Linked DNA regions of Danio rerio. The protein of the gene in region 1 binds, or shares a complex with, the protein of each later gene. Links are inferred from orthologs where the notes say so. Each region holds a gene or a part of one and is shown in the gene's direction. Other genes may lie near its edges. The genes, in order: kat2a, supt7l, tada2a, tada3l, taf5, dr1 and wdr5.

What was found.
Region 2: kat2a (region 1) and supt7l share a complex: the UniProt entries of both Homo sapiens proteins name them as parts of the STAGA transcription coactivator-HAT complex. The link is inferred for Danio rerio from reciprocal best matches to the Homo sapiens genes KAT2A and SUPT7L.
Region 3: kat2a (region 1) and tada2a share a complex: the UniProt entries of both Homo sapiens proteins name them as parts of the ADA2A-containing complex. The link is inferred for Danio rerio from reciprocal best matches to the Homo sapiens genes KAT2A and TADA2A.
Region 4: kat2a (region 1) and tada3l share a complex: the UniProt entries of both Homo sapiens proteins name them as parts of the STAGA transcription coactivator-HAT complex. The link is inferred for Danio rerio from reciprocal best matches to the Homo sapiens genes KAT2A and TADA3.
Region 5: kat2a (region 1) and taf5 share a complex: the UniProt entries of both Homo sapiens proteins name them as parts of the TFTC-HAT complex. The link is inferred for Danio rerio from reciprocal best matches to the Homo sapiens genes KAT2A and TAF5.
Region 6: kat2a (region 1) and dr1 share a complex: the UniProt entries of both Homo sapiens proteins name them as parts of the ADA2A-containing complex. The link is inferred for Danio rerio from reciprocal best matches to the Homo sapiens genes KAT2A and DR1.
Region 7: kat2a (region 1) and wdr5 share a complex: the UniProt entries of both Homo sapiens proteins name them as parts of the ADA2A-containing complex. The link is inferred for Danio rerio from reciprocal best matches to the Homo sapiens genes KAT2A and WDR5.

The regions. Positions count from the first base shown.
Region 1 is NC_133178.1:16,326,150-16,331,095, forward strand, and holds the start of kat2a (histone acetyltransferase KAT2A), read left to right. Parts: upstream 1-1,887; 5' UTR 1,888-1,984; coding exon 1,985-2,203; intron 2,204-3,074; coding exon 3,075-3,198; intron 3,199-4,946. UniProt on the Homo sapiens protein: Protein lysine acyltransferase that can act as a acetyltransferase, glutaryltransferase, succinyltransferase or malonyltransferase, depending on the context.
Region 2 is NC_133192.1:44,182,150-44,186,402, reverse strand, and holds part of supt7l (STAGA complex 65 subunit gamma), read left to right. Parts: coding exon 1-399; intron 400-3,337; coding exon 3,338-3,662; intron 3,663-4,253.
Region 3 is NC_133190.1:18,240,540-18,244,792, forward strand, and holds part of tada2a (transcriptional adapter 2-alpha), read left to right. Parts: intron 1-913; coding exon 914-1,024; intron 1,025-1,317; coding exon 1,318-1,389; intron 1,390-3,792; coding exon 3,793-3,925; intron 3,926-4,253. UniProt on the Homo sapiens protein: Component of the ATAC complex, a complex with histone acetyltransferase activity on histones H3 and H4. Required for the function of some acidic activation domains, which activate transcription from a distant site. Binds double-stranded DNA.
Region 4 is NC_133186.1:18,282,513-18,286,765, forward strand, and holds part of tada3l (transcriptional adapter 3), read left to right. Parts: intron 1-212; coding exon 213-316; intron 317-416; coding exon 417-517; intron 518-1,273; coding exon 1,274-1,465; intron 1,466-4,253. UniProt on the Homo sapiens protein: Functions as a component of the PCAF complex. The PCAF complex is capable of efficiently acetylating histones in a nucleosomal context. The PCAF complex could be considered as the human version of the yeast SAGA complex.
Region 5 is NC_133176.1:52,726,800-52,731,571, forward strand, and holds the start of taf5 (transcription initiation factor TFIID subunit 5), read left to right. Parts: upstream 1-1,387; 5' UTR 1,388-1,419; coding exon 1,420-1,819; intron 1,820-4,475; coding exon 4,476-4,701; intron 4,702-4,772. UniProt on the Homo sapiens protein: The TFIID basal transcription factor complex plays a major role in the initiation of RNA polymerase II (Pol II)-dependent transcription.
Region 6 is NC_133181.1:26,447,024-26,451,276, reverse strand, and holds the end of dr1 (protein Dr1), read left to right. Parts: intron 1-270; coding exon 271-434; intron 435-2,276; coding exon 2,277-2,423; 3' UTR 2,424-2,638; exon of another isoform or gene 2,639-2,668; 3' UTR 2,669-3,749; downstream 3,750-4,253. UniProt on the Homo sapiens protein: The association of the DR1/DRAP1 heterodimer with TBP results in a functional repression of both activated and basal transcription of class II genes.
Region 7 is NC_133196.1:19,691,392-19,695,394, forward strand, and holds part of wdr5 (WD repeat-containing protein 5), read left to right. Parts: intron 1-923; coding exon 924-1,007; intron 1,008-1,140; coding exon 1,141-1,196; intron 1,197-1,290; coding exon 1,291-1,337; intron 1,338-1,560; coding exon 1,561-1,636; intron 1,637-1,744; coding exon 1,745-1,778; intron 1,779-1,868; coding exon 1,869-1,943; intron 1,944-2,053; coding exon 2,054-2,141; intron 2,142-4,003.

The DNA.
Region 1 (4,946 bases):
GAGCTTGTAATTTTACCAATAAAGGAGGGGAAGGTCTACTTTCTGACTGTTGTGTTATTTATGAACTCATTTTCTTTTCAGCTTAGTTTCTTTATTAATCCGGGGTCACCACAGCGGGATGAACCACCAATTTATCTACCATATGTTTTACGCAGCGAATGCCCTTCCAGCTGCAAGCCATCACTGGGAAACATTTACACACATACACTATGGATGATTTAGCCTCCCCAGTTCACCTATACCACATGTCTTTGGACTTGGTGGGGAAACCGGAGCACATGTTAACTCGCACAAACATGGGGAGAAGATGCAAACTTCACACAGAAATGCTAACTGATCCAGCCGAGGCTCAAACCAGTGACCTTATTGCTGTAAGTGCTACCCACTATGCCACCAGGACACCTCTTATATATTAATATCCGTGCTAATTCAGAGGTATTTTCCCTTTCCTGCTATGAATATAGTGAGTCCAGGAGAATATTTGCAGTTTTAAACTTTAATGCACTTCTTAAATGTTGGTGAAAGAGTCGGTGCTTTTGTTTATAGTCTTTTTTTTGGCACTAAATGTTATTCATAGTCAGTCATGATTAAGTTATCATGCAAGTAGAAGTTTCTATGATTTTATGAATATAGATGGTGTAATTTTTTATGCAATTTTTACATCAGCATGTTGTTATTATGTAATGTGACAAACGTATTGTTGTCTGATGAGTCCACCTTCACTGTCATTCCCACACCCGGGAGAGTTTCGGTGTGGAGAAGCCCCAAAACAAGCATCCCACCCAGACTGTTGCATGCCCAGAGTGAAGCATAGGGGGTGGATCATAGATGGTTTGGGCTTCAATATCAAGGCATTCCCCAGGTCTAATACTTGTGCTTGATGGGTGCATCACTGCCAAGGTCAACCGAACTATTTTGGAGGATCATGTCCACCCAGTTATTTGAACGTTGTATCCTGAAGGTGGTGTATCAGGATGATAATGCACCAATACACACTGCAGGACTGGTGACAAAGTTAAACATCTCCCATGGCCTGCACAGTCACCCATCCTAAATATTACTGAGCCACTTTGGGGTTGTTTTGGAGGAGTGAGTCAGTTGTATGTCATTTCCAAAATGAATTGATGTTGTATTTGTTGCAAAAGGAGGCCCTACACCATACTAATGAATTATCAGTTTCATTGTCCAACCCTTCACACATGCACACACATTTTACTCAAACATAATTTTATTATTATTATTATTATTAGACATTAAAATGGTGCCGTTGAAACATCAAAACACATTCTGCTAATTAACATAAATGCACTGATATAAATATATGTTTTATGAATACATGTATAAGTGATTTGGTACAACAATAACCAGCGTTAAACCAGCGTTTTTGGCCATTTCCAGCCTGGTCTTAGCTGGTCAGGCTGGAAAATGACCCGCTGAAACCAGCTAAACCCAGCCTTAAGTATAAGTTTAAGTTGGACAGAGTTGGCTTTGGGCTCCCACCCAGGTTTAGCTGGTTTTAGCTGGTCATTCCCAGCCTGACCAGCTATGACCAGGCTGGAAATGGCCGAAACCCCTCCATAACCAGCCTGGCCAACCAGGTAAAACCAGCCTAGACTGGTTTAAGCAGTTTTTTCCAGCAGGGAAGTGTTTAATGGGATAGTTCACACAAAAAAAATGAACCTTTACCTTTCAAATGTTTCCAAACATTTAGAAGTTTGATAAAACAGGATATTGTGAAGAAAGACGAAAAACCTGCATTGACTAACAATTGAGGGTGTCGGCGAACTGTCTCTTTAATGCCCCCCAGTGGAAAGTTGTAGCGTTTAATTACGAACTACTGCATACTACATTTCCCAGCATCCCCTCATTGTCGAAAACCATCACAAAACTTTATTCAAGCCGCCCGGTTTGGAAACGAGCACGGAGATCCGTAGGGGGGAAGTGAGTGAGCACGGAGATCCGTAGGGGAAGTGTGGCTGCTGTTATGGCGGACCCGGCGGCACAGAGCTCCGCGCAGCCCCGGCTTCAGCAAGCGCAGTCCAGCGGCCCGACCGGCTCCAACTCGAACCCCGGAGCCGGGAGCAGCGACCCGGCCCGACCGGGCCTAAGCCAACAGCAATGGTCCAGCCAGAAGAAAGCCCAAGTCCGTTCGTTTCCGCGGGCGAAAAAGCTGGAGAAACTCGGAGTGTTTTCATCCTGCAAGGTAACCGAGAGCTCGCCTCATAACAATGGAGAGACAGAGAGAGAAACCGGGCCTGACATGTGTCACATCTTCATCCACACTCACGATTTTTTTTTTACCTCTTACTAATGCTGTTTATGTAAGAATAATACTCATAAACTTAAACATGACATACCGCAGGGTAAACATGAGGCACTGCAGGTTTAATTGGGAAAACAATTTACTAACATTTTTCACCATACATCCACATTTATTGCTATTTTTTAGTTTTACTTAAAGCTTTTCTTTAATGTTGTGTTTAAATGTGCAAATTAGACAATATATAATTAAGCAGACATTCATTTGCATGCATTTCTAGCTCGAAAATCTAAAAATTGCGTTAAAGAGATTAAAATTTACTCACTATTTACTATTGAGGTAAAGTTGGTTTTAAATTATCGGTACATTCGTTTAATGACATGCTCCCTGTATTGTTTACCATGGTACTTTAAATGTTTGGTCTGAAAACACATTTTTTCTTTTTCCACTCCACCATGACTTTAAATTCTATACTGTACATTATTTCTGTTAAATGACAAGACTTTTGTCTAAGCAAAGTCAGACCTTACTGTCCTAATGAAATACAAATACAACAAGGCATGATCATAGTTTATTTAGGAAAATAACTAATCTACAGACCTTTGCCTTTCATATAAGCCACTTTTGATACAAAATGATCAACTAGAAGTCAGGTTATTATTTGCTGTTCCTAAACTTGGATAGATGACAAGACTTTTGTCAGGTAGTGTATTTTATCCTTTTATCACCACTGCATAAACTTGCCACTCTGAATGTTTTGATTGTGTTATTCTGATGTTTAGCGTCTGATTCCTCTGCACTCTTCTTATCTCAGGCGAATGATGCTTGCAAGTGCAATGGCTGGAAAAACCCCAATCCACCAACAGCGGCTCGTATGGAGCTCCAGCAGCAGGCCGCCAGTCTGACGGAGACCTGCCGAAGCTGTGGACACTCTTTGGGTAGGAAGAATCAGACCTGGGGCCTCTACCGTGAAGCTGGATTAGCTGACTAGCCAGTTAAATGTTGGTTTAGTTTGCACCAATCTTGGGTTTTTAGTAATATGAAGGCAGCTCAACATTAATCACTAGTGTTTGCCATGGTATTAAAGGGCAGCAAAGCTAAGATGAGCTACCTTTATGGTATCTAAATTCAGAATTTGTTACAAACTAAACTGAAAGTCAACTGGTTAGCCAGCTAATCTAAGGGTGTACTCACACTATGTACAGTTGCCTTGAACATGTGCCGAAGTACGCTTGTCCCCTTCCCTCTCCCCCAATGGCCTGCACATACATTGTATCCGAGCCGGAGATGCTTACGTCATCGATGATGCGACTGTTCAGTTTAACAGAAGAGAAACGCTCTCGCTCAGCACAGTAGAGATTCCTTTATATCGTTATATAATTTTAGTCGTTTGAGATGCAGTGACACACAGTCAAATAATTCGCCGAACAGATCAGCCACTTTTGACGCTCATAAACAGTCATAAATTCCTTGTGCTGCAGGTATTAGGAGGTTTGCTGAAGGTGCAGCTGATGTGCAGTGAGGGGTTTAAGTCTTTTTATAAACTACGACAGTTTGCATTCATTGAACCGTAAGAATGTTTATTAAACACATATGAAACAATTCCATAAAAGTCACGTCATGTCTTCAGTTTCGGGCTCAGGTGTACTTGCACTCACACTACAAGTGTACTGCACCTAAGCCCAAGAGAAGCACTTTGGCACACCTCTTCCAAACGGGCCAGGGCTGGCCAACTGAACCGCACCTGAGCCCGATTCAGAACACGCAGACATCTAAAAACGAACCGGGAAATGGGCCTGGACACGGTTCAGATAGCAGTGTGAGTACGCCTGAAGCCAAATTACATGATACAGGTCCATGAAGCTTTGTTTGCTATCAAGAAGAAGACTGGTGATAAGTTTTAGCAGGGATTAGGGCTGCACAAAATTAGAAAAATCCAACATTGCAATATATATATTTTTTTCCTGTGATATATGTACAGTTGAAGTCAGAATTATTAGCCCCCTTTTGATTTGATTAGATTTTGTTTTATATTTCCCAAATGATGTTTAACAGCAAGGAAATTTTCACAGTATGTCTGATAATATTTTTACGTCTGGAGAAAATCTTATTTGTTTTATTTCGGCTAGATTAAAAGCAGTTACTAATTAAAAAAAAAAAAAAAAACATTTTTGGGACAAAATTATTAGCCCCTTTAAGCAATTTTTTTTTCAATAATCTACAGAACAAACCATTGTTATACAATAACTTGCCTAATTACCCTAACCTGCTTAGTTAACCTTATTAACCTAGTTAAGCCTTTAAATGTCACTTTAAGCTGTATAGAAATGTCTTGAAAAATTTCAAGTAAAATATTATTTACTGTCATCATGTCAAAGATAAAATAAATACGTTATTAGAAATAAGTTTTTAAAACTATTATGCTTAGAAATGTGAAATCTATTAAACAGAAATTAGCGAAAAAAATAAACAGGGGCGCTATTAATTCAGGGGGGCTAATAATTTTGACTTCAATTGTATGTATTGCGATTATATTTTATCTATTCAGTTTTACCAAATGACTTGACGAATGAATTTGTGGTTCAATTCTCACTATTAACAAACCTTTAACTATGACATTTATGACTATGATGTCTGGATGAACAGCCTCAAAGCCAAGACGAACAAAATCTGCCATGTCTTGTTG
Region 2 (4,253 bases), on another chromosome or scaffold:
TTCAGCTTCATCAGGCCGCAGTTCTTTTGACCTTCTCCAGCGTGAGTTCCGGCAGGTGGAGATGCAGGACCCTCCTTTACATCAGCCTTCTGCACAGCGTCCTCGTCCAACCACCATGCTGGATATCCCATCTGAGCCCTGCAGCCTAACAATCCATACGGTGCAGCTGAGCCAGCACGCTCGTCGTCTCCGGGGTCTCATTGCTGCTGCCCAACAAGGCCAGCAACCCCTGCCCACGTTATTAGAGGGCCAGAGTGCCTTTAAACCTGAGGAAGGAGATGCTCTGCCTCCACGACCTCCCACACCCACTGTACCTGATGATCTGCTTCCACTAGACAGTAAAGCGCCTCGACTGCCGTTCCAGCTACGCCACAGTGACCCAGAGAGTGATTTCTACAAGTAAGTTAAAAATAGGGTTGCCAGGTTTTCACAACAAAAATAGCACATTGGCCATCCAAAGTAGTCCAAAATTAGGCCAATTTGTCAATCAAACGAACCCGAATGAACCCCAATCTCTAAACTTAAAATATGACATTCCCATACATAAAAATAGCTATTTTACATTATTAAATACAATATATAGTTTCTTGCGTCTTTAATATTGCATATTGGTAATTGTAAACATATGATTTTTATAAATAAAATCATCCTATCTTCAGATTGACAGCCGATGAGCCAAATCTTCAGTTCGTTAATGCTTTTTTTTTTTTTTTTAGAACTTTTTGAATATATTACACATTACTGTACACATTAAACACATTTTCTTTAAAAATACTTTTATTAGAAAGTATAACAATTCAAAGAAATATACTGTTTTATTATTTAGCAAAATTACCAGGTAGTTCTGGCAACGGACCCTTTTTACAAGACGGTCATCAGCATCTTAAATCCTTGATCGTTTTTAATATTTAAATAAAAAAAAAAACTTATGAATATTTAAATGTTTTTATATATGTATTATATAATCTTTGCTTCAAATCACAAAAAACAAATTACTGCTTGTGCGAGGCGTTTCTAATGAAGCGTCTATTGGACAGGATAGTAAATTTAACATAATTCTCCCCTCTGGCTGCCGTTATCAGTTTCACACAACAATTTTCATTTTTATGAAAGTCTTTATAACATCATCATGGAGTTTTTCTTTCATTATTTGAGCAAATAAGATTGTAAAAAAATATTTGTTGTATTCTCCCATTCACTGCAGTCTAAGTTTACCCAACTATGACAACTTCCGCTACTAAGAAACCCAGAAATGTGAAAAGGGTCTACTGTTACTATGGAAGCAAAAACAGATATGGCTGCTTTGCTGCACACAACCCACCCACACACTTGCACACACACATCCACAAACACCCACACCTCTCATTTGTTTACTTCGTTTAATCATCCTAGTATTTTTCTATCATTGGTAGAATATATGTTTGGATGAGTAAGATATTTAAATGTCACACAGTTTCATACAGCATATGCAATATGACAAACCTTTAACCTGAGAAATAAAATAAAAAAAACAATCTCTGGACTTAATCAAATTTATTCATTCTTTAATTTTTTTTCGGCTTGATCAGATTGATCAGGGATTGCAACAGCAGTATGAACCGCCAACTATTGTTTTACGCAGCAGATGCCCTTTCAGCTGCAACCCAATACTGGGAAACACCCATACACTGTTCCATTCATACCCACTCATACACCACAGCCTATTTAGTTCATCCAATTCACCTATAGCGCATGTCTTTGGACTGTGGGGGAAACCGGAGCACCCAGAGGAAACCCGCGCAAACACAGGGAGAACTTGCAAACTCTAGACAGAAATACCAACTGGCCCAGCTCGAACCAGCAACCTTCTTGCTGTGAGGTGACAGGGCTAACCACTGAGCCACAATATATATATATTTTTTCAATTGTATTAATTCTACGATTATCAAGTACTTGTGAATGAGCCTAAAAATCTAAACTTTTTTGTATATTTACATTTCAACAAATTCACTTTCCAGTGATATATTCAAAACACTGGACAGCCACAAATGTAAACATGCTTATTTGAAACATTTCTATTATTAGTTTTTTTTTTAGATTATTTCAATGTGGTCATATCATTGACCATGAACATTTCCTGCTTGTTATCAAACTATTTCATAACTGTAACAAGAGGCAGTTTAAGCATATCTTAATGTTAAAACAACTAGTATATCAATATTTATCAATTTGTGGCTCTTTTAAGCTATAGAAATGAAAAAATATAAAACAGGAAAAATATTGGGACTGTTGTTTTTATTTGCATCCCTCAAAATTGTCTATATCAGTGTTTCTCAACCACATTCCTAGAGGACTACCAACACTGAATGTTTTAGATGTCTCCTTTGACTTTCCAGGGTTTCTGCAGGGTCTTAAAAAGTTTAAAAATGTCTTAAATCTTAAAATCGAAATTTTAGGCTTTAAAAAGTCTTAAATTTACTGAAATATTGTGCTGTAGGTCTTAAATCTTTTTTAACAGGTCTTAATTTTCCTTTGTTAATGCATTACTGCCCAAAAACTTAACCAACACTAACAGTACATCTCAATAAAACTAAACTAAAAAAGGTTAAAAAATAAAAAAAGGTTAAAAAAGGTCAAAAAATAAAAAAAAGATTTAAAAAGGTATCTTTGAACTTTATTTACCATAATGGTTTTATTATTTCCCTTACAATACCATTTGTTAGAAGTGTTCCATGTATTTACAGCTGAGGACACAGACCTGGACAGATTGTTGTGCATAGATTTAGTCTATTTTAGGTTTAAAAACTTTTTTAAACATTTGTTTATTTTTTTTATTTTAAAGAAAGTTTATGTTGGAAAAACATTGTATACTTTGTTAAGAAGTATCTAAAGTGTATACATTTTTTATTATTCATTTATTATTGCATTATTAAATATATTAAATTATTATACTTTTTTAATAGGGCAAATAAAAATATTTTCCATCTAGGCCATTTAAAAAAATTAGCATTTAGCCCTTTATGAGTCTAAAATTTAGCATTAGCATTTAGCCCTTTATGAGTCTAAAATTTCATTTATAATGGTCTTAAAAAGTCTTAAAAATAAATTTTAAAAATGTCTTAAATTGAAACCTGCAGAAAGCTTCCTTTCACACCCATTGCAGGTCTTTCAGTCTTTGCTAATGATTTGATGATCTAAATCTGATGTGTTTGGTTAATGAGACGGGGAAAACATGCAGTGTTGGTGGTCCTCCAGAAACGTGGCAGAGAAACACTGGTCTATATGACTCTTATTCAATATCCTTTGCTTTCTGTCTTTTACCTGTTTTTCTAACTTCTCTATATTTGACTGTTTTTAGAGGTAAAGGTGAGCCAGTCACTGAGCTTAGCTGGCCATCCTGCCGTCAGCTTCTGTACCAGTCAGTGGCCACAGTGCTCGCTCATATTGGATTCGAGTCAGCCAACGAAAGCGTACTGGAGACTTTAACTGACCTGGTTCATGAACACTATCTGCGGCTCACCAAGTTGCTGCGTGTGGCTGTTGACAGGGAGGCCTGCCAGGGCTCTACTGCCTTCCCTGATGTATTGGAGCAGGTATTCCATGAGTTGGGCATCGGCAGCATCCTGGCACTACAGCGTTTCTGGCAAGTCCGTATCAAAGATTATCACAGCTACATGCTGCAGGTGAGACATGGCTAATATTGTGTCTCATTCACTAAACATGCGTACACAAGGCATTTAATTCACTTGATCATGAACATAACAGTGCTGATTTTGGGCATGAAAATGATCACATAATTTTCTTGACCTAACTAAAGGAGTTTCTCCAGGTTCTATTTCGGGACCTATTTTGTTTTCTATTTATGTAAATTATAAGAGTAAGGGCATTCATTCATTCAAATTTCTAAAGGTCTAAACAATTGTTATATGATCTATAATAAATGGTGATTATTAGGGCTGCACAATACACTACCGAAAAAGAAAAAGTCTTGTCATCAATCCCAGTTGTATGAGCAACATATAATAGCTTGACTTCTCGTTGATCACTTGGAAAAGTGGCAGAAGGTAGACTTTTTTAGATGAATCATCTGTTGAACTGCATCCCAATAATCTCAAATACTGCAGAAGACCTATTGGAACCCACATGGACCCAAGATTTGGTGAAGGAAAAATCATGATTTGGGGTTACATTCAGTATGCGAGAGATCTGCAAAGTTTATGGCAACACCAACAGCATGAGGTATCAAGACATTTGTACTGCCAATTACATTACAA
Region 3 (4,253 bases), on another chromosome or scaffold:
GTCTGTGTTCCTTTAGGGTTATCAAAAGTTTCTGTTTACATGGTGAACTCTTAATCAGAGTATTGTCTGAATCATATTAAAATCGGAGTATTGGTGTCCTTGTAAATGTACTTAGTAAAAGTGCCAGAAGATGTTGCAAGCTGCATTCCTCTGCCTTTAATTTCATTCGCTGTGTCCTCAAATGTTTCACGTGTTTCCCCTTACACGCACATTTATATATTAAACTAATTTATTGCATTCTGAAAATGTCAGAAACAAACACAACAAACTTGCCTAAAACTCAAAATGGCATACAGCAACAAAAGGCAAACTGTTAGGAGGATCAGTTACTGAAATGCTTCATTGGTTGCTGAATGATGTTTTTAACTAGTCATGCAGTTTACACAACAATCCATATTCTAGTGCGCAAATTTAAAAGTGAACGTAAAATGCATGAGTCAACAGATTTGTCTGTATTTTCAATTTTGTCTCCTTTTTGTGGCGATCAAAATGTATCTATTAGGCAATCTAATAAGCAGCTAAACGCCACTTGCCTTTGACAGCAAAAGCCACTATATCCCGAGAACCAATCAGAAGGTGCGAATCCAATCCTGTTTTCAATGTAGCAGCGCACTGATACGCCGGCTTTATGAGGACTGTTTTTTTCCGCTTTCGATGTAGATTTTAAAGGGCACCTATGGTAAAAAAAAATCTACTTTTCAAGCTGTTTGGACAGATGTGTAAGTATAGTGTATAGACCGTCATATTGGGATGATATAAACACACACAGTCCTTTTTTTTTTTTCAATTTAACAACAAAAACGGTGGACCAATTGGAGCGGTTTCTTAGAGCGACCGCAACTTGCCGTAGGAGTGCGGTCCCCCCGCCCACCAATATTGATTGATTAATTCTGTGCATCTACTGTGTTGTCAGTTCTGGAGAGGCGTTATCCCAAGGAAGTGCAGGACCTTTATGATGTCATGAGACGCTTTGCGCGTGTGGTGGGACCAATAGAGCACGACAAGTTCATCGAGAGTCACACCTGTGAGTATTTAACCCTCTTTTCAACCACTCGATATAGAGAAATCCAGAACACTGCTGTTACCGGACTCGCTAGTTTACCAGACTTCAGCTGACCTGAGATCAATCTAGCCCTGTGTGTCTTTGTGGTTCAGTGAGTGTGTGCAGGACAGCTAGATTTAGACGAACAAGCCCTCATGTCATTCAGCAGCACTCAGTCTGAGTTCAGTCTGTCCGCCCCACTAGTCTGAATCAGCCAGGGTGAAAAGTTCAGCGCTCCATCTGCTCTGTTTCTCTCTGTCATCAACTGTTCACAGTGGAGTTTGAGCTGCGGAGGGAGATCCACAGACTGCAGGAGTACAGGAGCGAGGGAATACAGTCCTTCTGCGGTAAGATGCACCCTCAATCACAAGCATATCATAGGAGGTAACATAAATCAGAGTGCCACGGTGCTATTTTTAAGCTTTCAAAATTAGGTTTTTCATTCACTAAGGAGAAAAATCACTTTCGTTTTATCATTATATACACTCACCGGCCGCTTTATTGGGTACATATAAAATGTATTAGTATCGGGTTGGACCCCCTTTTGCCTACAGAACTGCCTTAATCCTTCATGGAATAGGTTCAACAAGGTACTTAAAATATCTCTTAGAGAATGTGGTCTTTATTGACATGATAGCATCGCGCAGGTGCTGAAGATTTGTCACTGATGCGAATTTCCCATTCCACCACATCCCAAAAGGCTCCATTAGATTGAGGTCTGGTGACTGTGGAGGACAATGTGAACTCATTGTCATGTTCAAGAAACCAGTCTGAGATGACTCACGCTTTATGACATGGTGCATTATCCTGCTGGAAGTAGCCATCAGAAGAGGGGTACACTGTGGTCATAAAGGGATGAACATGGCCTGCAACAATACTCGGGTTGGCTGTGGCGTTGACACAATGCTCAATTGGTACTGGTGTGCCCAAAGTGTGCCAAGAAAATATCCCCCACATCATTACACCACCACCAGCAGCCTGAACCATTGATACAAGGCAGAATGGATCTATGCTTTCATGTTGTTGACGCCAATTTCTGACCCTACCATTCAAATATCCTCCGATGGTTGTGCTTGAAAATCCCAGGAGATCAACAGTTTCTGAAATACTCAGACTAGCTCATCTGGCACCAACAACCATGCTACATTCACAGTCACTTAATTTTTTTTCCCCCATTCTGTTGCTTAGTTTGAACTGCAGCAGATCGTCTTGACCATGTCTACATGCCTAAATACGTTGAGTTGCTGCCATGTGATTGGCTAATTTAAAATTATGGGTTAACGTACAGTTGAACAGGTATACCTAATAAAGTGGTCGGTATGTTGTAGTCTCAGCTCATTTCACACAGTTAATAAAATAGATGGTTCATTAATGCAGTTTTTTTAAACCCCCTTTGTTATGTTCTGATTGGTCAGATGTCATGAAAAGTCATAAGTACGGGATACTACACACCATGCACTTACTCACTGTGTACTTATGTACTTACACACATAGTGTATGAATTTAGTGCCAGTATTTTACTAACCAGAAATTCAAACCGTTTCCCAAATGACATTTGACGGTTGCCAACTTAGTAATGACCAAATAGTACCTGTCATGAGTATAACCACATTCACCAATGGTGAACACATTGGAGCACTTTTTTGACAGTGGTTCCTTTCAATATAATCCAGAATTCAGAACAGTACAAGGTAAAAAAAAAGTTAATAAATGTGAAAATATACACAGCTATAAAGTATATAGAGTTATTAAATGATACGCAAAGTCTTATAATTAATTATAAACAATATGTGACTAGTATTGAGTTGAGAAAGTAACATTCAAGTTGTCAGAAAATTCTTAAATGTGCCATAGAATGACATTTTGGATATACCTAGGCATAGCTGAATAATAAGAGTTCATGGAAATTACATATCATGAGCCTCAAATATCAATGTGTTATTGTTCTCCAACAAATCCTGTGAGTGCAAAATCCCAGTGAAAATCCGGCCAATTGGAACAAAACACAAACTCTGACAATCCACACAGAATCAATTAAATGAACGCCCCAGGCAGTGTTTGATTGGCCACAACGTTTTCTAGTGAGATTACATCAATTATTATTTTCCCCTTATTTTTAACTTTATATAAGCTTGTATTAAACATACTATGCATGTGGGTCTCTTGTTTTGAAAATAGGAACAGGCAGGGAGATTAAAAAAGGAACAGTTTAGTGAAGTAGGCAGCTATGCATGACCACTAAGTGCTCACAACTTGTCAGAAAGCAAAATGCAGGATATACGGATTAAAAACGTATTCAGCACCACCTTGAAGAGGCATAAGGTCTGTTTAACTCCTCTCTTTTGTTAGTTTAAAGTATATAATTCGCTGTGTATATTTGTGATGAGGCAACAAACACACGTATACTGAGTAAAAGTGCTTAAAGATTGTTTCTGGAGATTTATTTTTTTGCTTACCTGAGCCACAAACCTGTTATTTAGATATCAGTGAACAATTTTCACTCCTTTACATTTTTACAAATGTTTAGAAAAGATCAACTTAAAATTTTTTGTGGATGGTAATTCCAAATCATGTAGAGGCAGTTTAAATTAGAACACAGTCAACAAGTGATGATTTAAGCAGAATCAAGCACTATCTCATCTGAATATGGTCCATACGCTCTGACCACAGCTTTTTGATAATGCTAGCCAGATCTCACATACAGAGATCTATGTTCATATCTGAAGTGACACCTGTCATCTGGTCTGCAGGTGCTAAAGTCTATGAGCGAGTGAAACGCACACGAGAGGATGAGCGCAGGAAGAGGAACATGCTTTGTGACGTCCTGCAGTACATTCATGACACCCGCGCCTGCCAGCAGTGGCTGCACAAACAAGCTGCCATGTAAGATCTCTTCCTCACTCACTCACAATACTGCTTCCTTTATGTTAAAATGTATTATTACATGAGTCATGAATCCCCCTGCCTCAGTGCTGCTTAGTTTTCAGCACAGTTTGGAAAAATGCTAAAATAAGGAGTGTTAGCACAAATTGAGTTCATGGATGTAAACTCCTCATCTTTTTTTACATTTTTGAGATCAAAATGGGTATGGCTGGGCGATTTGGCTTAAAATAAAACTCTTGATTAATTGAACATTTTACCTCAATTAATTTTAATAAACGATTATTTTATATATATTTATATAAAAATATATATTAAAATAAATGAAAAA
Region 4 (4,253 bases), on another chromosome or scaffold:
TATTTTTTATTTTTATAAACAGAAATTCCAATTTAAATGACAAACACAAAACTCTATGATATTCCATAACCTGGACAAAAAAAAAAAAAAAAAAAAATTCCTTGAATTTTATTGTCAGGAATAAACTTTTAAATTTCAATGGTATTACATGACCCATAGAGTAACCCTGTTTAAATCTGTTTCTTTTTCTTGTATTATACTGCCGTGTCTAGATGTAGATGCCCTCCTGAAGAAATCTGAGTCTCAGCATGAGTCTCCAGAGGACGGATGCCCCTTCGGTCCGCTCACTCAGCGACTTCTACAAGCTCTTGTTGAGGTCTGCGACTCCTCATTTGCAAATTATATAGTGCAATACTTTCAGCTTTTTGACTGCTTGGTTTATATCAGTGTTTCAGTCATATTCTTTTGTGATGTAGGAGAACATCATATCTCCTATGGAGGATTCCCCCATTCCAGACATTCCAGGGAAGGATGATGGAGCTGGTACGTCACCTCGTAGCCAGGGGAAAGCCTTCAGGTAAAAACAAGTCTTGTCACTTGATTTTCATAATTTTTGTTTTAGAATTTAGTCAACATAAAGTTGACTTTCATAAGATTTATATTAGCTTGTCTATTTTGTTTATTTGAAAAAGTTACTGCTGTTACTGTAAGGCTGCATTAATTAATGGAAAATACAGTACGATTTTTATTATCTTCTTAATATTACACAATCTTTACTTAATACTAAACTATTGTTATGGTAAAATGTGATCCTTGAATAGCATCAGTGCTACAGGATATTTTTGGTTGTTATGTCTTGCGCTGAGTGTCTTGCCACAAGCTTTCAACACCTCCAGAAACCGTCTCTCTAAAAATTTCATTATATTTTTAACAATTTTTTGAAAAGAAGAACACATCTCATGCAAACACAAATGCAGTAGAATATAGGATACATCATAAATATATATATTTATGGCTATATAGAGCCAATTAAGACTGATCAGTCAATTAGTTGTTCAGGTAAGCTTCCAATTAATTGATTTAAATAGTAAATATAGTTATTAAAGAAGTAATAAATAAAATCAGGTGTCATTTTTATTTTTACTTTAACATCTTAGTATTTAGTAGCACTAATGGTGGCTACTAGTCAACGGCTACACAAAGTAAACATATATAACATAGCAAATATTTAGCTGACTTTGCAATATAGAAAGTCTCATTAGTTTAGATCAATTAGTAATCTTTTATTTCTCCGTCTTCGAATTCTGCTGAATTGAGCATTTTGTGTGTTCAGTGTACCTCACACACGCTCTCTGGAGGCTCGTATAAGAGAAGAGCTGGTGTCTCAGGGGCTGCTGGACTCTGATGAGAGGCAAGGGGTCGGAGGAGAGTCTGAAGATGAGGTGCTGGCCGAACTGCAGAAAAGACAAGCTGAACTTAAAGCACTGACCGCACACAACCGCTCACGCAAACTGGAGCTGCTCAAGTGAGTCTTGCTGAAACACATCAGATCAACATCAAGACTGTTATTGGCATGAGATATCTGGTAATCCGGCTCATGGTTTAAGTAAACTTTAAAATCTGCATGAAATGCAAATTAATTGCACTGAGAAATAAAGTAGCCGTATTTCCATGCGAAGATGCAAATTAAATGCATGCAGAAAACTGGAATATCACATAAAAGACATGCGAATAAAGCAGCGTTTCCATCCAACGAGTCAAAGACAACAAAATTGTCACATCCTGATTAAGTTTCGCCAAATATCAACAGTAAAAATTGAATTTGTTTTTGTTTTACAGTGTGCTCAGCCAGCTGGTTTGTTCATTTACACACGTTTTCATCATCACATAATCTCTTATAACAAAATCGCATGACTTTTAATGCGCACAATAGAATTTATTTGGTAGCGTTTCCATCGCAGTTTATGCTAATTTTTTCCTGAATAAAATGTCCTACTCAGTTATTCGCATGTCTTATGCTCATTTTAAAATATTTTGAGCCTAAAAATAGGTGGTTAGAAACATAGCTACAGTGGGTATAAAAAGAATAATCCCCCTTCTAAATAATTAGATTTTGTTGCATTGTAGCCTGAAATTAAGACAGACACAGTTTTTTTTTATCTAGGTGAAATTATTCAGTGCAATGTGTAACATCTATGTAAAAGATATAACACCAACATGTCAGAAAACAATTAACAAGCATAAAAACAAAATCACTCAGTTGTGAAAAGGATCACCTCCTCCTAAAAATTTCTGGTAAACTCAATCAGGTGTAGCTAATCACCTTCTTAACGACACACAATGCCATTTCACTTTCATTGGTGGTCAATTTGATTAGCTCAGCATGAAAATAGCTTTATTGTAGCATTTTAACCCTAGGTAGTGCAACTGAAGCAAACCATCAATTATGGGTGGCAAGACATTGTCAAAAGATTCCTGGGATAAAGTTGTGGCCAGGCTTAAGTCAGGGGATGGATACAAAAAAAATTCAAATGCTTTATCAATGCCTAGAAGCACAGTGAAGTCCATTTTTTTTTTAAAAGTGGCTGGTATTTGGTACAACACAGACCCTTCCTGGATCAGGATGTCGCTCCAAATTGAATGAAAGAGCCAGGAGGAAAATGGTTAGAAAGGCAACCAAGAGGCCTACAACAACTCTGAACAGTTGCAGGAATTTATGTCAAAGAGTGGTCATTGTGTGCATGTGACAACAATATAAACAATTCTCCACAAATGTGGCTTGTATGGAAGGGTTGCACGAAAAAAGCCTCTTCTCAAGAAAAGCAACATACAGACACGACTGAGCTTTGCCAAAACGCAACTAGAAGATTCTGTGGCCATGTGGGAAAAAAAATATGGTCAGATGACACTTAATTTGAACTATTTGGCCTCAACACCAAACGATATGTCTGGCGGAACTCCAATACAGCTCATCATCTAAATAACACCGTCCCTATCGTAAAACATGGAGGTGGAAATATCTTGTTTTGGGGCTGTTTCTCTGCAGCAGGAACTGGAGCACTTGTCAGGATAGAAGGAAAAATGGATGGGGCAAAATACCGACAAATTCTTGAGGAAAATCTGCTGCCCTCTGCCAGAAAGTTATCATTTGGAAGAAGGTTTACCTTCCAACATGACAACAACCCAAAGCACACAGAAAAACTGACCACACACACAGTGGTTAAAGGAGAAAAAGGTGAATGTCCTGGCATGGCCAAGTCAGAGTCCAAACTTAAACCCCATTGAAAATCTTTGGAAGGACTTGAAGACTGCAGTCCACAACAGACACCATCACATTTTAACTGAACTTGAACAGTTCTGCAAAGAGGAGTGGGCTAATATTTCAAAGTCAAAGTTAGCAGAAACGTATTCCAACAGATTAAAGGCTGTAATTAAAGCACAAGGTTATTCAACCAAATACTGAATCAAGGGGTGATTCTTTTTCCAACCCATTGATTTAGTTTTTTATATGTTGATTTTTTTTCAGACATGTTGGTGTTATATCTTTTGGTTGGGTGTTATAAGTTGCACTAAGTAAACACAGGTAGATTAAACAAAAACTCTGTCTGTCTTCATTTCAGGCTACAATGCAACAAAATGTAATTATTTTGAAGGGGGGTGATTCTTTTCTATACCCACTGTACTGTTTGTTTTGTAATCTTTAACCAAATCATTTGCTTCCACTTTGAAATGACAGTCCTTCTGTAATGTCGATTTGACGCCTTGAGCGAAATATGCTTAGCCACACCCCTCTAACTGTTAGTTTACTACCAGTGAAAGACGAGAGGAGCACAAAAATAAAACCCCTTTCAACTCTGTTCCTCTTCAGTTAATTAAAAAAAGAGCCCAAATCTTACAAACTGTGATTTTAATAGTAGTAGAAGAAGGAATTAGTAAAATAAGTATTATAAACATGTGCTGTCGCATTTATATACTTATTTAGCATGCAAAATCTTACAAACTGTGATTTTACTAAATAAATACATGTAGGGCTGCTGCTGGGTTCAGAGTAAAGATGCATTTACACATCTTAGATTGTTAGAATTGAGTAAATGAAAAAAAGCTTCACTCTGAAACTTGCAATGCAAATTTTCATTCTTTTTTTTTTTTAAATAAACTTGATGGAAAACCTTTTAAAAAAGCAAAAAGCATTAAGACAACACATTTCGATTATTTTGCAGTCAGTACTATAGCCCCTTATAATATATAAAGCCGTTAAATATATACACTGTTATAATAAAATATGAAATGTGGTCTATTCGTTCATTTCATTC
Region 5 (4,772 bases), on another chromosome or scaffold:
TGTATATGATGAACGTTTAACAATCAAAAATATAACAAAATCATGCAGTGAAGACATTCAAATAACAACAGAAAGACAGAATAATAATAATAATATAACATTTAAGTAAAATTTAAATAAATTGAATAAAAAACATCCATAATTACAAAAAAGGAGTTTAGTTTTTAAAGTATATACAAAATTCTGAGAGATCACTGTTATTGCTGGATACATTTTATGTATAATTTTATTCCACAAACTTTATTAGTGACACACATTTGTTTTTTGTTTTTTTATATGTATATTTTTTATATCTTTATATATATATATATATATATATATATATATATATATATATATATATATATATATATATATATATATATATATATATATATTATTGCACATGCTGAATATTTAAAAATAAAACCATAACACAAATTTGCAATTATGACATCCAAATCATAACAGAAAACAAGACAAAAATCAAATAAAATGAAAGAGAATTTCATTCAAAAACAAAACGTCAGATTTATATCTTTGTATTAGTATATCATTCTTTTTCTTTTTGGCTTCGTCCCTTTATTAATCTGGGGTCGCGACAGCGTAATGAACCACTAAATTAACCAGCATATGTTTTAAGCAGCGGATGCCCTTCCAGCTGCAACCCATCACTGGGAAACACCCATACATTCTCATTCATACACATACACTAAGGACAATTTAGCTTACCCAATTCACCTGTACTGCAGGTCTTTGGACTTGTGGGGGAAACCGGAGCACCCGGAGAACATGCAAACTGAATGCCACACAGAAATGCCAACTGACCCAGCTGAGGATCGAACCAGCGACCTTCTTGCTGTGAGGTGAGCATGCTACCGACTGCACCACCGTGTCGCACTATTAGAATGATGTAATGTTGTTATTACTATTATTTTGTAGGGTGAAACGGTGGCTCAGTGGTTAGCACTGTCGCCTCACAGCAAGAAGGTCCCTGGTTAGAGTCCAGGCTGGGTCAGTTGGCGTTTCTATGTGGAGTTTGCTTGTTCTCCCCGTGTTTGTGTGGGTTTACTCCAGGTATTCCCCCCCCCCACAGTTCAAAGACATGCGGTAGTTGAATTGATTTGCCGTAGTGTATGTGTGTGAATGGGTGTGTATGGGTATTTCCCAGTACTTGGTTGCAGCTGGAAGGGCATCCGCTGTGTAAAACATATGCTGGATAAGTTGGCAGTTCATTCCGCTGTTGTGACCCTTGATGAATAGACTAAGCCGAAGGAAAATGGATATTATTTTGTTTATTATATGCTGCTTAGATATATAATGATGTATATGTTTAATGAATTAAAGTTCACATGAAAAAAAAATAAAAATAAAACGTCAGATTTACGTCAGACGTACCACATGCGTCATGACGTAATCACATCCAGCGCCGGGGGAAAAATGGCGGCTGTGCAGGATGGACCGATGGAGGTGGACGCAGAGAAAGAGACAAAACCCGAAATCCTCAGCGATGGGACGGCAAATCCGTCGGGGAACACCGGCGGCGGGACTCTGTCCTCATCGCCACTCACCGCAGCCCCGGCCGCCGGAGCCCCGAAGCCGGAGGACCAGCAAACTCTGCTCGCGGTGCTGCAGTTCCTGAAGCGAAGTAAACTGGCGGAATCGGTGGAGATCCTGCGGCGGGAGGCTGGTTTAGCAGAGGAGCTGGAGGACTCGCATACCGACGCCGGTGCAGGAGGGAAGGACGGAGACGCAGGAGATACAAAAACTCTGCTCAGCCGTGTGTCCATCGCCGGTGCAGCCGCCCCGCAGAGCACACTCACCCCCATACCTGCGAAGAGTGAGTGACAGCCGCAGACACACACTGATGCTGGGGCATCACTTTTATTAAACCCACTGAATGATTAAATGCACTAGAACAGAGTCATCAACAGTAGTTATTTCTAGAAGATGTAAAACAGTTCTTTTGTAGCACCCTCACCACCTGATGAGGGACAGTAATGTTATTGAAACACTGCTTCTGTATTGTTTTTTTTTTCTTTGAGTAAACTCAGCTGTATACTTTCACAGCATTGTAACACAGCATATGAAAACAACTTTCTTTAATTCATTCATTTTATTTTCGGCTTAGTCCCTTCGTTAATCAGGGGTCGCCACAGCGGAATGAACTGTCAACTTATCCAGCATATGTTTTACGCAGCGTATGCCCTTTCAGCTGCAACCCATCACTGGGAAATGAAAACATCTTCACAAACAATATTATATACATCTCAAAAACTTTCTGAATATTTACAGACAATTTTCCTGCACAAAATTGTTGCACATTTAATATACAGTCATTACGGAATTCTTCATAAACAAACTATTCACAGTTTAATTGTCATATACCATATACACAGTCATATAACCGACTCGCATACATATTTCACTTTTTACATATACATCATAACCCACTTTACATGAACTTTAAACATTGTAACCAGCAATGAGAGTTAAAACATCACTTTGTAGCTACTCTTTAACTATACCCCTTTTATTAGCTGTTATGTTGATGCATATAATGACATTTAAATGATCCCAGTAGCTGTTAAAATTAGAGTTTATATACACTATCGAGTTGTTTTAATAGATGACACTTGTTTCTTATCACTGACACACACACACACACACATATATATGTATATATATATATATATATATATATATATATATGTATATATATATATGTATATATATATATGTATATATATATATATATATGTATATATATATATATATATATATATATATATATATATATATATATATATACATATATATACATATATATATATATATGTATGTATATATATATATATATGTATGTATATATATATATATATATATATATATATATATATATATATGTATATATATATATATATATATATATATATATATATATATATATATATATATATATATATATATATATATATATATATATATATATATATATAAAACCTTAATAATTAATTTTTTTTTCATTTATTTATTTATTTTTTTAGGTTCATCTTAGGTCAGACATTAAAATATACATAGTAATGATACATATAGATATATACACTGATACACTTCACCAAACAAGAAATTATCAGGAAAACATAATTATGCTCTAAATAAGTTTATAAATAAAAGGTAAAATACCATATTTACACACAAAGATATACAAACATAAGAAAACATAAATAAAAAAATTAATAAACAATACAAAGAAAGGTAAAAGGTAAAAAGGCGATTAAGATATAGGTGTCTCCTTTAAAAAAAATGCATAAAAGGGCTCTAGACTTTCTGGAACTGTTCTGGCTTTTGTTTTATTGTAAATTGAATCTTTTCCATCTGAAGAGCATGTAGGAAATCCAAAACCCATTGCCGATAAGGGGGAGCTGCTGACTTCCAATTCATAAGAATAAGTCGTCTAGCCAGTAAGGTTGCAAAGGCTACGCTATCGGCCTGTAATGAATTTAATTCAGCATATTCTGGCAGGATTCCGAACAGCGCTGTTAAGGGGTTTGGGTCTATTGACAATGAAAAAACAGCAGAAAAACACCTGAAGATTTTCCCCCAAAAATCAGACTGTTTGAAACACGACCAGAAAGTATGTAACAGTGTGGCTGATTCGGTTGTACAGCGAAGGCAAGTTGGGTCAAGATCAGGGAAAATTTTATTCAGTTTTGTTCTAGACCAGTGTATTCTGTGCACAACTTTAAATTGTATGAGAGTATGCCCAGCGTTTATTGATGATGAATGTATTCTTGCAAGAATAAGATCACAAATATTTTCAGCGATTGTTAAATTCAGTTCCTCCTCTCAAAAAGCCCTCAGTACATGTGTTGTGGGGGACTGTTTTGTGTTGATAATAGTAAAGATTTAGAAATGACCCCTTTTGAAGAGGTATGAATGTCGAGTAAATCATCAAGTATACTTTTATTTGGCACAATGGGAAAATTAGAAACTGCTTATGGATAAAGTGCCGTGTCACTGACATGTATTTAACACATAAGTTAAAAATGAGGGACGATATGTTATTGAAACACTGAGCTGCTGCTTTACGTCAGAGTCTGTGGATAGTCTGTGATGTAAATCGTTGCATTCCATTGATTTACAACATAGATCAACTATTAAACATTTACTTTCTCTTTTCTTTTACGTAGAAAGAAATGTACACATTTAGAAAAAGAAATTAACTTTATTATTATTTATTATTATTTTTTTCAATTTTTAATAATTCTTAACCACTTCGCTTTATTCTGCACAAAATAAGTTGCATCAACAGTGTTTCTCAGCGCCCCTTATATATATATATATATATATATATATATATATATATATATATATATATATATATATATATATATATATATATATATATATATATATATATATATATATATATATATATATATATATAGAAATATGGTGTGGTTTGACAGACATTTTGTTGTTGTGTTCTGCAGGTGGAGACGACCAGCCGGATGTCAGTGTGGTGTTGTCAGCGTACAGCCAGCAGGGTGACCCGTCTCTGTATAAGGTGTATTACAGTGACTTGAAGAAGTTCATTGAGTCGGTGCTGGACTGTCACCGGGCAGAGCTCTCGCAGCTCTTCTACCCTCTGTTCGTCCACATGTACCTGGAGCTGGTCTACAACAACCACGAGAGCGAAGCCAAGGCTTTCTTTGATAAGTAAGTGAGCTTGGTATAGACAATCCACCTTTTCTTCTATTGCGCATAGCCCCTAATTGATCAGGGGTCAC
Region 6 (4,253 bases), on another chromosome or scaffold:
CAGTGGCTACTTGTTACCAAAATAAATAATATACATCACAGAGGGTGGATTGAAACAGCCTTTTAACTAAGCAAATTTTATTTTTATTTTTGTGTGAACTATCCCTTGAAGTTCGCTTCTACGGAGCATATGGATGGATGTAATTGTTTTCCTGTTCTGAAAAATATTTTTTGTGAATATTTACAGTGAATATTTTCACTGTAGTTACAATTTTTCACTTAAATATACTTTTTTTCTTAAATAACATTATATGTGTTCTTCTTTTTTAAGCACTGGAAAGTCTAGGATTTGGGTCATACATCGCAGAAGTAAAAGACGTTCTGCAGGAGTGTAAAACTGTAGCACTTAAAAGAAGAAAGGCCAGCTCTCGACTAGAGAACCTTGGCATTCCCGAGGAAGAACTTCTCCGCCAACAACAGGAATTATTTGCTAAGGTAAAAATGCATGCCGAATGGTTAATTCTAAAGATTTCACTCTTAGCTTAGCAGTTGGTGCCTTCTCGTTTTTTTTTTTTTTTTTTTTTTAATGCAAAAAGGTACACAAATTACATTAAATCACCAGTGTTGCCAACTTAGTGACTTTTCAGACCCCCTTAGCGGCAAATATTCCAAAAAAAAAAAAAAGCGACTAACAAAAAATCTAGCAACTTTTTTTGGTGTTACTGGAGATTTTTTATGGACTCTTAAGCCTAGTTCACACTAAAGGATTTTAAGCCTGATTTGAGCCCGATTTGAAAGTTAACGAGCTTGCTGACAGATCGGACTGTGATCGGGAAAAACAATTTCCTGGTGCTCGGCGCTCTGCAGTCTTATTTATGAACTACTGAATAACGGATCAAAAAGGCTTGATGACACCTCGCAGACAGAAATACAATATCTAGCATGCTGAATATTCCAGAGCAGTCGGCCGACTCGACCCCACGCGCGTTCATATGAAGTGATGAGCTGCAGCCAATGAGGGAGAGCATATCAGCATGAGCTGAACGTGTGCTCAGGAGCTCAACAGAAATGTCTGTGATTGGCCAGAATGGGCATCGATGCACTCGCTTCATTTTGTGTTAACACAGACACGAGAATAGGCTGTAATAACAGTGGAACTAGAATTCTGTAACTGGATCATTGCTTTTTCTGTATACTGGTCATTCTGACCATTCTCATATAAAACATCATATTGTCACATCATATTTACATTCTAAACTTCTTTTAAGATATTAAAATTAGCCTTTGAATGCCTGTCAACATTTTCACACCATTACCCTAAACTTTTATTTTTTTCAGTAATACAGCTTGTAAATATTTAGTTAAATACTAGAACACGCAAAGGTCTGGGCCTTCATTTTCACTTTCAAACAGAAGCAATTTCATGACACAGAAAATGCAGTTTTGAAAGATATATCTGGAGTTTTTGCAAGCAGAAAGTTATGTTTATGTTAGAAGGAAGTTGCTAGGCAAAAAATGCATTTATATTTACAGTCACAGTGAAAAGTAACTGGCATGCATGCAGTCATTTTGACCTATACGGTAATTAAAGGTAGAAATGCTCAGTTCTTTACTGTTTTGTCAATTAAAAAAATATCAATGTTAAAAAAAATACACAGATATTTAGGAAATGTCCAGGTGTTGAGGATTTGTTAGTTTTTTTTTCAGAGTTATTAAATTAAAAAAATGAAAAATTCTGTTTCTATTCACTTGAACCTTGCAGATGAGTTATCAATCTGCTCAGCTAATTGACTATATTTTTAAATGCTCCCTTGGAAGCTTGAAACGCTGTCAGTGATGTCATCAGCACACTAGCAGCCAGTGGTGTTCATTTTCTTTGCAAAGTTAGTCAAACCGATCTGCTTCTCCATTGTTTTAAATTTAACAATTTAATTTGGCTGTTTTTTTTTTTCTTGTTCACAATCAGAGAGATTTTAGTGAGTTTCTGAACTTTTGTGAGTTTATTGTGTCTGGGAGATTACTGCAAATTCATTATACATCTATATTGATATACTGTATTCAAACAATACATTTAGTTAAATTGACATATATTGCACATATAAAGCCTAGTGTAAATATAAATAACCTGTTATTAACCATAGACTGCTAAACAAAAACTACTGGACGTGATGATGTCAGTAAAATGCAAATTGATGTATTTGATGTAAGCAGAGCTTAGCACATTTTCATTGAAAATAGTTGGCAACACTGTAAATTGCCTACAAATTGAATAGACAACTTGTCATATTTGTGTAACAAGCTTCCACATGGCTTTTGATGAGTGTTGCTGTGTTTTAGGCACGGCAGCAACAGGCTGAACTGGCACAGCAGGAGTGGTTACAGATGCAGCAGGCCGCCCAGCAGGCACAGTTAGCTGCGGCTTCGGCCAGTTCCACTCAGCAGGCCGGATCTTCCCAGGATGAAGATGAAGAGGACGACATGTGAATCCTGGCAGGCTTTGGCTGAAGCACACGGATAGATTTACAAATTATATATATATATATATATATATATATATATATATATATATATATATATATATATATATATATATATATATATATATATATATATATATATATATATATATATATATATAGATAGATATCTATATATACATATATATGTATATATATATATATATATATATATATATATATATATATATATATATATATATATACATATACATATATATATATATATATATATATATACATATACATATACATATATGTATACATATATATACATACATACAGACATGTACTGTCTCCCACACACAACTCAGCCCTCCGTAAACCTTAGCAGAGAAGAAGCTCTGCAGTATTGTCTCCTATATAAACTTTTAAAATCCCAGATCAGCAGTATAAACTGACGGTTTAGAAGCAGTCATGGGTCATCTCCTGTGATTCATTTTTGTTTTTATTTTTTGCTACGTTCACGTCAGTTCACTTGTTAACTAGAATCATTAGCTCTTGAAACTCCAGTTATTTTTTTGTGATTTAATTAAAGCCAGTTGTCATAAGTTTCTTTGTGTATGTGTGTGGGAAGGATGTTTAGTCATGTGATGTGGCTGTGACACGAGGCACGCCATTGGTTATATACAGGAGCTGGCGTTTTGAATCGCTGCGTCCTGTTTTAGGTGACTTGCGTATTTCTCTTATATTTGTCTTTGTAAAATAGCTTAAAGAGACACAATTGGGGAACATTTTTGGTAACTGATTTTTACAGCCGTTCATCCCCACTTCTGTATTTCTCTTTGTTCTGCTGAGCGATATCAGAGAACGTGATTTGTAATGTAGGATGTTGCATTTTGGTTCGTTTTTTTTTTTTTTTTACTTTCAAGTGAGGATAAAGATGATGTAGATAGGCTTTTACCTGCCCTGTGTTCAGAACAGTATTCCGAGGAAAAGATTTACACGTGCAGAATAATATCTGTCTCATAGTACCAAAGATAGATGAAACTATGAAAAAATAATTAACAAATCAGTCACCGGATAGGCTTTCAGAAATCTGCTCATGGTATTTGTTCTCTATATGACATGAGAGCGTTTAATTGCAGACATCACTGAGCTCTCTGTAACTCACACTTTGTACAATTTTTTGATAGCAGATTATGTTTTGTTTTTTCCAGGTGCAATGTGTAAAAGTTGTGAATGTGTGGTTAATTCATATCTTGTGATGACTGGTATGGTGTAGTTGAGAAACGTATTCACATGCCTTTGCAAAAGCTGTATTCTCTAAGCAATAAAGTCAACCCATTTTATAGACAGCCTGTTTTTGTGTATTTTTTATTAATATAAATTCTACGCTAATCTCACAAGTTGCAAATTGTAAAAAAATAAATAAATAAATTGGAAAATTAGCGATTACCAAAACATAATTTTAACACTGGAAGTTAAATGCGCAAGGCGAAACATGTTGAATTCAAAATGCACACAAATTACAGGGAGAAATTATTTGGAGCTGTGACTATTTACAAATGCATAATCGAGTCAGTTTGGCCATAATATACACGACCAATCAAAAGATTAGGGTCAGTAGATTTTTCAATATTTTAAAATAATCTTATCCTTATCCGTCTTTTGGATGAAACATAAAACTGAAAGGTCATTAAACTCTTTGTGGTTATTAAAAATCACATGGCACTTTTCGTAAAAACATTAGGGATGTAACCCCAGTGTGCTGGCCAAAATCCCTCAATCAGCCCTTACGATCATGGCCTCCTAATCATTTCAATCACCGAACTGGCTCTACCACTGTTTCTCCACT
Region 7 (4,003 bases), on another chromosome or scaffold:
CAATGACTTCAATGCGCAAATTTAGATATCCACATTAATTGGTATTAAACTTCAGTGTAAATCCAAAATGTAAATGTAAAAGCTGCGCCAAACAATACCCTTCTCTGCAATAGAAAACTGTCTTTTGAGTTCAGAGTTGTAGCTTTGTTTCTCTATTCTTGAAAACTGTAATCAAGAGCTGTTTTCATCCAAAACTGCAAATTAACTTTTTGCGCAAAACTGGATTGTCGCATAAAAGACGTCCAAATAAAGCAGCGTTTCCATCCAACAAGTCAAAGCGAACAAATTACACACTTCCTGATTAACTGCTGCCAAATATCAACAGTAAAAACTAAATTTGCTGCAGTTGGAGAAGCTGCATCAATCTTTTCTTGATCTAATGACTTTCGCCTAAGAAGACAATTCTCACATGCAGTGAACGCGGGGTGGCGTTTTAAGGTGTCAGACGCGGAGCACAGACACTCTTGATTCTGGAGATCATTAATAATATAATAACACTGATAATTAAACGGTAAGACATTTTAGAATGACCAAAACTAAATTTCAAATGTTTTACAGTGTGCTCAGCCTGCTGGTTTTTATCACATGATAATCACATGATTTAGATTTTTATCACATGTTCTCTTATAACAAAATCACATGACCTTTTTAAATTGTGCATACTGTAATTTGTGTAGTAAAAGCGTTTCCTCTGTAGTTTATGCATATCTTGCATAATGTTTATCCTTCTCAGTTATGCGCATAATTTTTTTATGCACATTTTCAAAATTCATGCGCATCATGACGTTTCCATCAACCGTTTTTTACTGTTATTATATCAACCGTTATTTTGCATATGCGCATAAAAATAGGTGGATGGAAACATAGCTAATGACTTCATACATTGTACCCCTAATACATGTTAATTCTTCTCTCCAATGCAGTTTGACGAGAGTGTGAGGATTTGGGATGTTAAAACGGGGAAATGTCTGAAGACACTTCCAGCACACTCAGACCCTGTCTCTGCGGTTAGTGTTTTTTTTTTTTTTTACTTCATCTGGATGATTCAATTCACAATTGTGTACAACTGACATCAATTTAAGTGATTTCTTTGAATTATAATTGTGTATTTGTTTTTTTTTTGTTTGTTTGTTTTTTTAGGTTCATTTCAATAGAGATGGCTCATTGATTGTGTCCAGCAGTTATGATGGACTTTGGTGAGTGAACTTTGACTATGAAAAAAAATCAAGAGTGAAAAAATATTTCAGAAATAAAAAGCTAACAATCATACCCACTTTCTGACTTAAACAGTCGTATCTGGGACACAGCATCAGGCCAGTGCCTTAAAACACTTATTGGTAAGTTGATCAGCATTTAAAATGACTACAAACAAGGTTAGATTTGTTGTGTAAATGGCAATCATTTGTGTTTATCTGTTCTTATCTGATATGCATAAATAACTTTAGGCTAATAAGAAACTAGTATAACACAGTTAATTTTAAGGTACGCTAAGTAACAAGAAAGACATTAAAAGAGGCATAAACAATCATTAAAATGTATACATTTCCAATTTTTCATCAGATGACGACAACCCACCAGTGTCATTTGTGAAGTTCTCCCCCAATGGCAAGTACATCCTGGCTGCCACTCTGGACAAGTAAGTCAAGGACATTTTGATATTTTCAACATTTAATTGTATTATTTAAAAAGAAGAAAACTTTAAAGTAAATTCTATTAATCCACATGCATTCCCTTCATATTTTAGTACTTTGAAGCTTTGGGACTACAGCAAAGGAAAGGTAAGTGTTTCTCAGTTTGTTTAGTGCATTGTTTTAATAATAAAAAAGTTCTCAATCGGTGTATAACAATAATATTTTCTTTTTTTTTAGTGTCTGAAAACTTACACCGGTCATAAAAACGAGAAGTACTGCATATTTGCTAATTTCTCTGTCACTGGTGGAAAGGTTTGTTGGCTTTACACTTTTCTAATCCATTGCCTCTCTTGACATGCTAAAACTTTTCGACATGAGCATGTGAACTGAAATGGTGATAAAGGCTTGCTCTTTATTTTTAGTGGATTGTCTCCGGCTCAGAAGATAACATGGTCTATATCTGGAACCTTCAGACCAAGGAGATTGTACAGAAACTACAGGGCCACACAGGTAAGAGCAAGTTCAGTGGATGTTAGCAAAGCATTTTTACCTAGAGCTTAATGCACTTCCTGCTAATAGTTCCAGGTAAGCAGTGCTACGTTACAAATTTGTTGTGTTTGAGTGATATTTTTATTGATGTGCAATAATGTCAAAAAAGGTTTGTTTAAATGATTCACGATTTTCATTTTAGATTTTTTTTTTTTGTAGTTTTTAATTGACCAATGTTAAATGTAACTACAACATAATTCAATTTAATCCAAATGCAGCACATATGTAGAGATCGAAATGGTTTAAACGTGTATTGCCGGATTGCTATAATGCTGTGCTCACACTGTGTTCACCATGCTGTGTGCGATTTGGGGAAAATATCTAATTGTGAAGTAGTAGTCAAGTTCTGGGCGGGGGAAATTAGATAATACATATATATTTCATATCGCAGCTTCTTGCGACTTAGCTAATTGTAACGTTTAAAATCGCGATTCAATTTAGATTAATCGCACAACCCTAGTTCACACCAGATGCGGCATGAGCGAATAAATGGTGCGTGAATATTTGAGTTTACTTGCGTCATTCATGTGTCAAATTCACTAGATAACATTCCATTTAAAATTACACTTTTCCAGCAGTTCCTTGCATCCAGTATTTGTCACAGGAGGCATGCATGAAATGTTCCTGAATGAAAGTAAAATTGCCAAACTGCAGTTAAAGTTGAAAATTATTAATTTGGCTAATAATTTGATTACTGATGTCCATGTAAACATAGTCACTGTCTTTCTCCCCTGCGTCTTTTTTTGTTTTGCCTCTGTGAAAATCAGCGCTTGCTATCCTGTCGCAAAATGCGGCAAAAATTCTATATGACGGTAATAGTTTGATTGTGGTGTTTACATTCGGAGAGCAGCATTTACATCGGATCTTTCAGTCTGTAATATTCTATTGATATTAACTAACTGTAAACTTAGTAACTAAATCATTTTGACTAAGGTATGTCTCTAAAAACTGAAAGAGTACAAATCTGTAGAGACAAGACAATCAACACCAACTGGAGCCGCATCTTTTTTAAAAGGATACAAGTGGCAAATCCAGATTTCCCCATTTCCTTATGCGAAAAGCTTTCAGGTAAAAAATGTTCCTTACAAATATATTTCTGTCGCATGAATTGTAAACCACAAGTGAGTCCAGCTGCACTCTCATAGCACGAAATTGAAACAAAACCTTTGTTGCAGCACATTTCTAAAAAAAAGCACTGACAACCCATGTCTCCAAACAATTCTTGTTTTTCCATTTTTTTGGCAACACAACGTGGTGTCTCTCTGCAGTCTGAACATTCTATTAGGTAAAAACAGTCTTCGAAGCTATCGTGCATATTAATTAAGTTGCACCTCATTCACAATAGAGCGCGCTAATTGGTTTGAACCAAGTCTTTCTCATGAATTAATGCTGCACATTCGGACTCGGATGTATTTGCCAGTACAGACATCCACTCTCCATGCTGGATTACACATAAGGATCTAATTGCCATGACGTAGCTTCAAAAATTAGTTTCAAATCTGAGAAAACAAATTTGCTTAAAATAAAGCAAAAACAACCATCACTTTTTTTTTGTGAAATATGTGTCTATAGTGTTTATTAGAACACATATATGACTGTCAACATAACAAAAAATGTGTTTTGGTGTTTCATGAACCTTTAACTTTAAGGTCCAATTCTACCCTTTAGCCCTTTCTATTACTCAAGTCTCTTTAGCTTGAAGGCATAGGGATAAGGGCAAGGGGTAGATGCCCCTTCGAATGGAAATTTTTTTTAGGACCAAACTCGAAACTAAGGGGAAGAAAATTTCCCAGAATACACCAGCCACAACGGCAGTATAGCTG